2 linked regions of the Neurospora crassa OR74A genome follow. The protein of the gene in region 1 purifies or fractionates together with the protein of each later gene. This does not show direct contact. Links are inferred from orthologs where the notes say so. Each region holds a gene or a part of one and is shown on either strand. Other genes may lie near its edges.

The links.
Region 2: the proteins of NCU06099 (region 1) and NCU04799 purify together in Saccharomyces cerevisiae (affinity purification with mass spectrometry; 3 studies listed by BioGRID). This does not show direct contact. The link is inferred for Neurospora crassa OR74A from reciprocal best matches to the Saccharomyces cerevisiae genes YGR054W and PAB1.

Annotation. Positions count from the first base shown.
Region 1 is NC_026507.1:1,796,982-1,801,357, reverse strand, and holds the start of NCU06099 (hypothetical protein), read left to right. Parts: upstream 1-1,574; 5' UTR 1,575-2,331; coding exon 2,332-2,916; intron 2,917-2,981; coding exon 2,982-4,376. UniProt on the Saccharomyces cerevisiae protein: Functions in the early steps of protein synthesis of a small number of specific mRNAs. Acts by directing the binding of methionyl-tRNAi to 40S ribosomal subunits.
Region 2 is NC_026506.1:863,851-868,180, forward strand, and holds the start of NCU04799 (polyadenylate-binding protein), read right to left. Parts: upstream 2,860-4,330; 5' UTR 2,446-2,859; intron 2,213-2,445; 5' UTR 2,190-2,212; coding exon 58-2,189; intron 1-57. UniProt on the Saccharomyces cerevisiae protein: Binds the poly(A) tail of mRNA. Appears to be an important mediator of the multiple roles of the poly(A) tail in mRNA biogenesis, stability and translation.

The DNA of each region.
Region 1 (4,376 bases):
TCCTCCGTGTTAGGGATGCAGTGTTCATGCCGTTCAGTCAGTCCTCATCCGGACTCCATCGACGGTCACCATACAGGCAGCCGCAACTTTCACTTGATAGAGGAAACCGGAAACTGTCCGTTTTGTCATGTATCCATCAACATTGAAGTTATGGCGTGCATAAAACACCTGGACTATTTTACCCAGCAATTGCTCATGCCCGGATTGCTTCAGCGAGAGTGTGTTGGTGTGCTTTGACTGAAGCTGGAAACAACTGCCGTGTGTTATATGGGGAAACAGCATTATAGAGGGATAGAAACATGAAAGGAAAAAAAAAAAAAAAAAAAAAAAAAAAAAAAAAAAAAAAAAAAAAAAAAAAAAAAAAAAAAAAAGGGCCCGTTGTTTACGGGGGGCAAGCGGAAAACATGGAAAGCAAACAACATGGACCGCGTGGTAGGATCGTTTGTAGTGAGTGTATAGTACCTCGCGAAGAGACGAAAAGGACCGTACTGTGGCTCTCCTGGTATCATAGGATGTGTATCACAATTGCTTGGACGTCTGAACCTAGAGGTAGTAGAATAGACCTAGGTACCTAACATGAAGGACAGCACCAGCCATCAAGAAGGGTATCACTACCTTTACCCACAGATCCTCCATTTGGCAGGGCATGCGGAAGTGATGGCGCGTGTATTCTGAAAATGTTCTCCAGGAACGACCAAGCTGGAGTTCGGTAGTTTCACTTGGGTGTAACTTTCGTGCCATAGAGCATCGAGTAAAGTGGTGCCGAAACCTCACCTGAATGGAACAGGTCATAAAAATGGATAACCTCAGGTCTGTTAGGATGGCAAGTTGAGCAGAGAACGCAGTGGTGGACGTCGCCCCCGGTCCGATGTCTCTTGTCCTGAGCGTCGTCGGGGTCCTATGTCGTTGACGTTGACGTTGACGAAAAGGCAAATCGGGCAGGGGCCTTGGCCGTAACTTGGCGCGCCGCTGACTGGCCCTTGCCGCGGCTCGAACAAGGGACAACAAAGCCTAGAACACCGGGGGCCGCAACCTGTTGGGGGTGTTGGAGATCGGCTGGCCGCCGTGATAGGGCCCGTTAACATCTGATAGGCTCGCCCTGGTCCCTACGGGGCTTACGGGTACGGTCACTAACGTCTGTCACCGAATGTCACCGAGACTCTGAAGGGAACACGGCCCCACGGCGGGGCTCCGCTGTTCAATGTTCGGTCCCCTCGAGGTCCTCCGCTGCCAATCTAGAATAGAGGTCCGTGTGGCAGAGGTCTGAATCAGCGAACGGACAACCGCCGCGACCTCGAAATGCATAAAGCCTCCAAAAAAGTTAGAGATCGCCCAAACGGAAGGCGAACAACTCGTCCGCGCCGTCTTGCTGGACTATCTCTAGGTGTTTTTTTAAGTGTATATTCTACGGTCATATTGCCCATTAGTGCAGTCCTCGTCACATTGTTTAGCTCCCGTCTGCTGTTTGGTCGGGTGGCCAGTGCCCGTGCCAATGCCCAATTGAATATCGATGCTGCAGTGACATGTCGAAAGAAAAGGAAGAAAAAAAAAAAGAAAAAAAAAAGTGTAGGTAAGAGATATGGAAAAAAAACCAAAAAAACCGAAACCACGATACCTGTGGAACCGCGTCCGTATCGTAACTTTCTTCGCGTCCACCTTCTCTGCCATTCTCCATTGTCCTACTTTTCCTCCCTTTCTCCTAACCCACCTCTCCCCTCTTTTTTCCTCTCCCCCCCGTCAACCACACTCGCACCGCCTTTGCCAATTCCTTCCCTGAGGGTGCTTCTCTTCATCGTTCACGTTCCTGAATTCGGTCGATTTTTATTCTTCTTGGATCTCCACCACGGCGTGTGCCCTTTGTTCCTCGCCGCCGTCCAAAGCAACATCGCATTGTTGTCCCATCGTCACGGTCTCCCTTCGTTGGCAACCTGCGATTCAAGATCTGATATCTTCCGCCTCCCGCCCCCCCGTCCCTGAGTCGCTTTCCACCACCACCTAGGACTCAGCAAGAAAAAGCGTCGCTTTGTGTTGCACTGTCGAATTCTGCTCTGCTTCTGCCAGTCGAGTTTCTACCTTTGCGCAATCACCATTGTTGTGTTGCGCCAGATCGATACTCCCCCAACTCCGCCTTCGCCAACACACAACCAAAGCTTACGAGCTCCGCCTCTCGCAGCTTCGACACCAAGCGTGACCCGTTTCGAACACCGAAAAAAAAAGGTCCGCCTCTTGCTCGCAGCGACGACTCCAGTCCCCCGGGAAAAGGAGCCAGGTAACGAAACGAATCCCACACCGCTTTCTGCAAACCGCGATCACCTGTGACTTTCGCTAGTCATGGCCAATCCGTTGCAGCTCGCCTACCGAACCCAGAAGGCCATCGGCGTCTTTGATGCCGACCCTGTCTACGAAGCCCTTCCTGGATTCACCAAGCCCGAAGGGAATCTCCGGTGCTGTGTCTACTCGGGATGCGGCCGCTACTTTGCCTACGCCACTAACGAGGGCGTCGTCATCGTCGACGCGTCCGTCGGCCACGTCTTGACTTCGCTGCCCATCCCTGCCGTCTACGAACTCAGCTTCTCCCCCCACGGTACCTACTTGAGCACCTGGGAGCGCCCCGCCAAGGATGAGAATGGCGATGCTACCAAGAATCTCAAGATCTGGCGCACCATTGAGGAGCTCGCTGATGGTGCTGAGAAGCAGCCCATTGGCAAGTTCGTCCAAAAGTCTGCTAATGGCTGGAACCTGCAGTACACGGAGGATGAGCGCTTCTGCGCGCGCATCGTCACCAACGAGGTCCAGTTCTACAACAGCAACGATCTCGGCACCGTGTGGAACAAGCTGCGCGTTGAGGGCGTCTCCGACTTTGCCCTCGCGCCCGGTAAGAACCAGAACGTTGCTGTTTTCGTCCCAGAGCGCAAGGTACGTTACCTGATCTCCCGTATGCATCGCACTTTTCTATATCAACGTCTAACTGTTGGTTACAGGGACATCCCGCCTCCGTCAAGGTCTTCAACGTTCCCCAGTTCACCAGCCCGATTTCGCAAAAGACCTTTTTCAAGGCCGACAAAGTCCAGCTCAAGTGGAACCAGCTCGGAACTGCTCTGATTGTGCTGGCGCAAACAGAGGTTGACAAGTCCAACAAAAGCTACTACGGCGAGACCAACATGTACCTCCTGAGCGCCAACGGCTCGTTCGACGCTCGCGTCACTCTTGACAAGGAGGGCCCTATCCACGATGTGTCGTGGTCCCCCAACTCCAAGGAGTTCGGTGTCGTATACGGCTACATGCCCGCGAAAACCACCATCTTCAACCACCGTGCCGTCGCCACCCACTCCTTCCCTCTTGGCCCCCGTAACACCATCATCTTCTCGCCTACTGGCCGGTTTGCCTTGGTTGCCGGTTTCGGTAACTTGGCTGGTCAGATCGATGTTTACGACCTTGAGAAGGATTATCGCAAGATCACCACCATCGAAAGCGGTAACCCCAGTGTCTGCACCTGGTCTCCCGACAGCCGTTACATCTTGACGGCCACTACTTCTCCCCGTCTTCGTGTTGACAACGGCATCAAGCTCTGGCACGTTGGTGGCGGTATCATGTACAACGAGGACATGGTTGAGTTGTACAACGTTATCTGGCGCCCTGTTCCTGCTAACAACCTTCCCAACGTTGACCCGCTGCACCCCGTGCCCACTCCTCACCCTTCGGCTTTGGCATACCTTGGCACTGTCAAGACGCCTTCCAAGCCCGTCGGTGCCTACCGCCCGCCCGGCGCCCGTGGCTCTTCCACTCCTCTTCACTTCAAGCGTGAGGACGAGGGAGGTGCCGCCCACTCGGTTAGCAATGGCGTGCCTCAGGTCGGTCCTAATGGGTTCGGCCGCCCGCGCCGCCAGATTCCTGGCGCCGAGTTTGCCGAGCCAGCGAGACCTTCTGTTCCCGGCGCCGCTGTGGACGATGAGAACTTGTCCAAGACTGCCTTGAAGAACAAGAAGAAGCGCAACAAGAAGGCCAAGGAGGGCCAGGCACAGGGCGAGGGCGCGACTACTCCTAACGAGGGTGGTCTTGCCCCTCCCCGCGAGTCTGTCGACGGCCGCAGCCCCGATCGCAACCACCAGCGTCACCACTCGCGCAGCCAGTCGCGCAGCAACAACCTGGCTGTCCGTACTCAGAACAACCACCGCAGCCGCTCGAACGTGCGCCAGGCCAATGCCCCTGCTCAACAGGCTGCCCCAGTCGTTGACGCCGCCGCAGCGGCTGCCCAGAGCGCCAATGCGAAGAAGATCAGGTCTCTTCAGAAGAAGATCCGCGCTATTGAGGATCTCGAGATGAGACATGCTGGTGGTGAGAAGTTGGAGGATACCCAGTTGAAGAAGATCGCCACC
Region 2 (4,330 bases), on another chromosome or scaffold:
TACAGAGAGACAGGTTAGCGATATGTAGAAGAGTCAGGAATAGACATGTAGACTTACAGGTTGATCAGCTCAGCGTTGTCCATCTCGAGGAGCATGCCGGTGATCTTGCCAGCAAGAGCGGGCTGGATGGCCTGGATCTTGGGGAAGAGGTTCTCGCCAATGATCTGCTTCTGGGCCTGAGGATCCTGAGTGGTAGCGAGCTGAGCCTGGAGGAAAGAGCCAGCGCTGAGGTCGGCAGGAGCGCCAGGAATGGGGGAGGCACCACGGCCGGCAGCCATAAAGTTAGCGTTGCCGCGAGGAGTGCCGCGACCGCCACCGTTCTGGGGACGACCGGCAGGGGGGTAGCCGGGAACGGCAGGGCCGCCCTGGAGACCCTGGGGAATACCGGCGGGGATGCCCTGAGGACCCCGGCCAGCGGGACCGCCACGGCCACCACCAAGAGCACCAACCTGGCCCATAGCAGCCATGTACTGAGGGGTGTTAGGAGGGAAAGCACCAGGGCCGAACTGGTTGATGGGGTAACCCATAGGGGGCATCTGCTGGGGAGGGACGCCACCGCGGCCACCCTGCTGGTAGGGGTACTGGCCAGGGCGACCACCCTGAACGCCGGGGACGATACCACCCTGGGGGAAGGGGACGCCACGACCGCCGGGGGCGGGCATGAAACCAGGCTGCTGACCAGCGTAGTAGACAGGAGCCTGCATGTACTGCTGGGGCATACCAGCCTGGGCAGCGGCCTGCTGCATGCGGAGCTGGTTGCGAGCCTGGATGCTGGCCTCAAGCTGGCTCTTGCGGACATCCTTGCGCTGGGCAAGAGCGACGTAGAGGGGCTTGCCATCGACCATGCGCTGGTTCATCTCAGTGACGGCCTTGGTGGCATCATCGGGGTTGCTAAAGCAAACGAAGCCGAAGCCCTTGCTCTTGCCGAGCTTGCGGTCACCCTTCTTCTCAGTCTTCTTCTCAGAGCCCTCATTCTGCTCCTCCTCCTTGGTCTCACCCTCCTTCTTGTTCTCCTTGTCCTTCTCATCCTTCTCCTCGGAGCCCTCGATCAGAGAATCGCGCATGACCTTGGCGGAGGTGATGGGGCCATACTCAGAGAACATGGCACGGAGCTTGTCGTCATCGACATCATCGCCGAGGTTCTTGATGTACAGGTTGACACCCTGGTACTTGTTGGCCTTCTCGAGGCGGGCAGCCTCGTAGGACTTGCGGAGCTCCTCCTCGCGCTCGTGCTTCTTCTGGGCACGGCCGACGTAGAGGTCCTGGCCACGGAAGTCCTTGCCGTTGAGCTCATCAACAGCCTGGGCAGCAGCCTCGTGGGTGGTGAAGTTGACGAAACCGAAGCCACGGGACTTGCCCTCCTGGTCACGGGCAAGGGAGGAAGAAGTGACCTCACCGAACTTGGCGAAGAGCTCACGGAACTCCTCGTCGGTGACCTCGTTGTTAATGTTCTTGACATAAACGTTGGTGAAGTTGGCCTTCATCTCCTCGAACTTGCTCTGGCGGTCCTTCTTGGGAATGTGGTGGCCAACGTAGACCTTCTTCTCGTTCAAAAGCATGCCGTTGACGTGCTTGATGGCCTGGGAGGCAGCCTCATCGGTCTCGTAGTGGACGAAACCGTAGCCCTTGGAGTTACCGTGCTCATCCTGGGCAACCTTGCAGGAAAGGATGTTGCCGAAAGCAGCAAAGGTGTCGTGAAGAGCCTTGTTATCAATGGCAGCGTCGAGGTTCTTGATGAAGATGTTGCCGGCACCGGTCTTGCGGAGGGCGGGGTCACGCTGGGACCACATGATGCGGCAAGGGCGGCCCTTGATCAGGGTGTAGTTGAGCTCCTCAAGAGCCTTCTCGCCGTCAGCGGTGGTGTTGTAGTTGACGTAGGCATAGCCGAGGGAGCGACGGGTGACAGCATCGCGGCAGACACGAATGGAGGCGACAGAGCCGATCTGGGAGAAGAGCTCGAAGAGCATGGCCTCGGTGACGGAGGGGTCAAGCTCGCCGACATAGAGAGAGGCGGAAGCCTGGGGGTGAGGGGCAGCAGTGGGGGTAGGAGCAGCCTCAGCACCCTCGGCCTGGGCCTCGGGGACAGCGCTGGTGTCGATGGGGGCCGGGGCAGCGGCCTTGTTGTCGAGGCTGGTGTTGCCGAGGTCAGCGGCGAGCTGGTCGACAGCGGCGGTAGAAGTGGCAGCCATTTTTGCTGGTTAAACTGTAGATTCTGTATGATGGATGGAACTGTCAGCGTCCGTATCCTTTTGTGTGTGTCTGTGTCTCTGATCAAGGCGCCGAGGGGTAACCGATGTGTCGACCGACGACGACAGCGGAAAGGAGGAGGAGAGGACAAGTCTCAATTGACGTGACGTTGGGCGGGCGGCACTGGCGGCGGCCACGGCGACGACGACAACGACGATGGCAAGGCAGGAGGAATTGATAGTGCGACGAGCAACGTACCCGAGATCTAGAGTTGTGTGGAGCAAGTAAAACCGGCGCGGAGAACGGGCGACGGTATTGACAAAGAGGGAGGATGAACTCGACTGGTCAAGGACGAGATTCGGGAGAGGGAGAGGAAGACTGGTGGACTTGGAGACTTGGGTAAATGTCTTCCAAAAAAGGTGGGTGGATTTGGTGGGTTTTATGGGGTTTTGTATGGATGGGGGGGATTTCTCTTTTTTCGGCGATTTTCAAATTTTTTTGGTGAGGTTTTGTTTGTCACAGACAAGAAGTAGATAGAACAGAGACCGAGAGGGTAAATGTTCGTACTTATCTGACTTCTTTCTGGCTTCGGTTTGGAGGAGTTTCCTGAGGATAAAGGGCGTGAGGTCCGCTGAAGAAAGAAGAGGAGGAGAAAGAGGGCAAGAAGCAACGACGCCCGGATGGCTCACGTCTTAATGCGGAGGTCAGATTTTTTTTCTTTCCCGCCCACGCATCTTGTGGTTGCGCACTGTGCCGCGCCCCTCGTAGCCGGTGAAGTGCGGCTAGGGCGGTCAGGGCATGCGGGTATCGGGGTGGCATGGGCTGCAAAACCTTGATTTATCGATAGGACCCGCCAGGAATTCTCGCATAAAGGCATCCATCCACCTGTGCAGACTGCAGACCAGACCGGAGATCCAGCGAAACGTGCGACTTCCAACTTTGCCTGGCACTTCCACTTGCTCCCGGGCCACCACCTGAGATCAAGCATACTTACGGTACTGTGGTCGACCATGGCTGACGACGACTCATGCCAACAACAGGCAGACATGGGCACTTATTCATGAACCCTGGAGGGTTGTTATGAAACCCTGCGTTTCAGCCGTACCTATTTGGTATAAACCGGCGAGATTCACTTGTATTGAATCACGGGACATTCCATCTCAGTTGGCGGTTGGAGTTGAAGATGCAATAGGTTACAGCGGTGTGCCGGATTTTGGCACTGGGTCGCTGGCATCTGTCCCATCACCATGGAACAATGCTAACGACCGCCTTACCTTTCTGGAAGTCCGCTAGCAAACGGCATTGCTGCTGCATTCGTGCCACGGGCATATTTCACACCAGACAAAAATAGAGAAGTAAAACGGATGTCCTGAGTATCAGCATTCGCAGTCCATTTCACCTGCAAAAAAGACATTGTTGGCAAAGCCGCGCACGGAACCTTGGATGGGGCAACTTGGCCGGATGACCTGCCAGGATGTTGCAGTCATATACTGGTTAGCCAGCGGCAAAAACCAAAGTCTGGAACAGGGCATCTTGGGTACTCGAACAGTTCGAGCGTAATGACACATCCTAACATTTCGACGAAAAGGTTTTGGTCCTGATGGCGGCTGCTGTCTGTTGAGGTTGGTCCCATTGTGGTGATTGGTCCCTGTGCCGGGTCAAGTCTAACATGGAAAAGAACAAGATGTCAAGATCGGCTTGATACAAATACCCGAACCAGTCCCACCCGAGTTGCTGCTGGGTTCATCTGGAAAAGGAAGGAACTCGTATGAAGATATTCATATATCAAGACTACCTCCACCACCGTTAGCGCAGCAATTGGCACGGCGGACACCACAATCACTCAATCAAGAAGTCAAGTGAAGTGGAAGGAACCAAGGCGGGAGCAGGCATCTGACGGACGACGCTGCTTGGCTGTGTCCCAGACTAGCCTTGCCAGCCCAGGGCTTGTTTGACCTCTGGCCTTCGTGTTTGTGAGTAGGCCGGGGCGGGCATGGGCCATAGAACCCGTATTCATCGTCATTGAATTGGACATCAAAAAGGCACCATCCTGTTGTAGTTGATGGACGACAACAACCATTCAGGATTCTCTTCAGGTATAGAATCCTTACATAACTCTTCATTCGCCCGGACGAGCAATGTG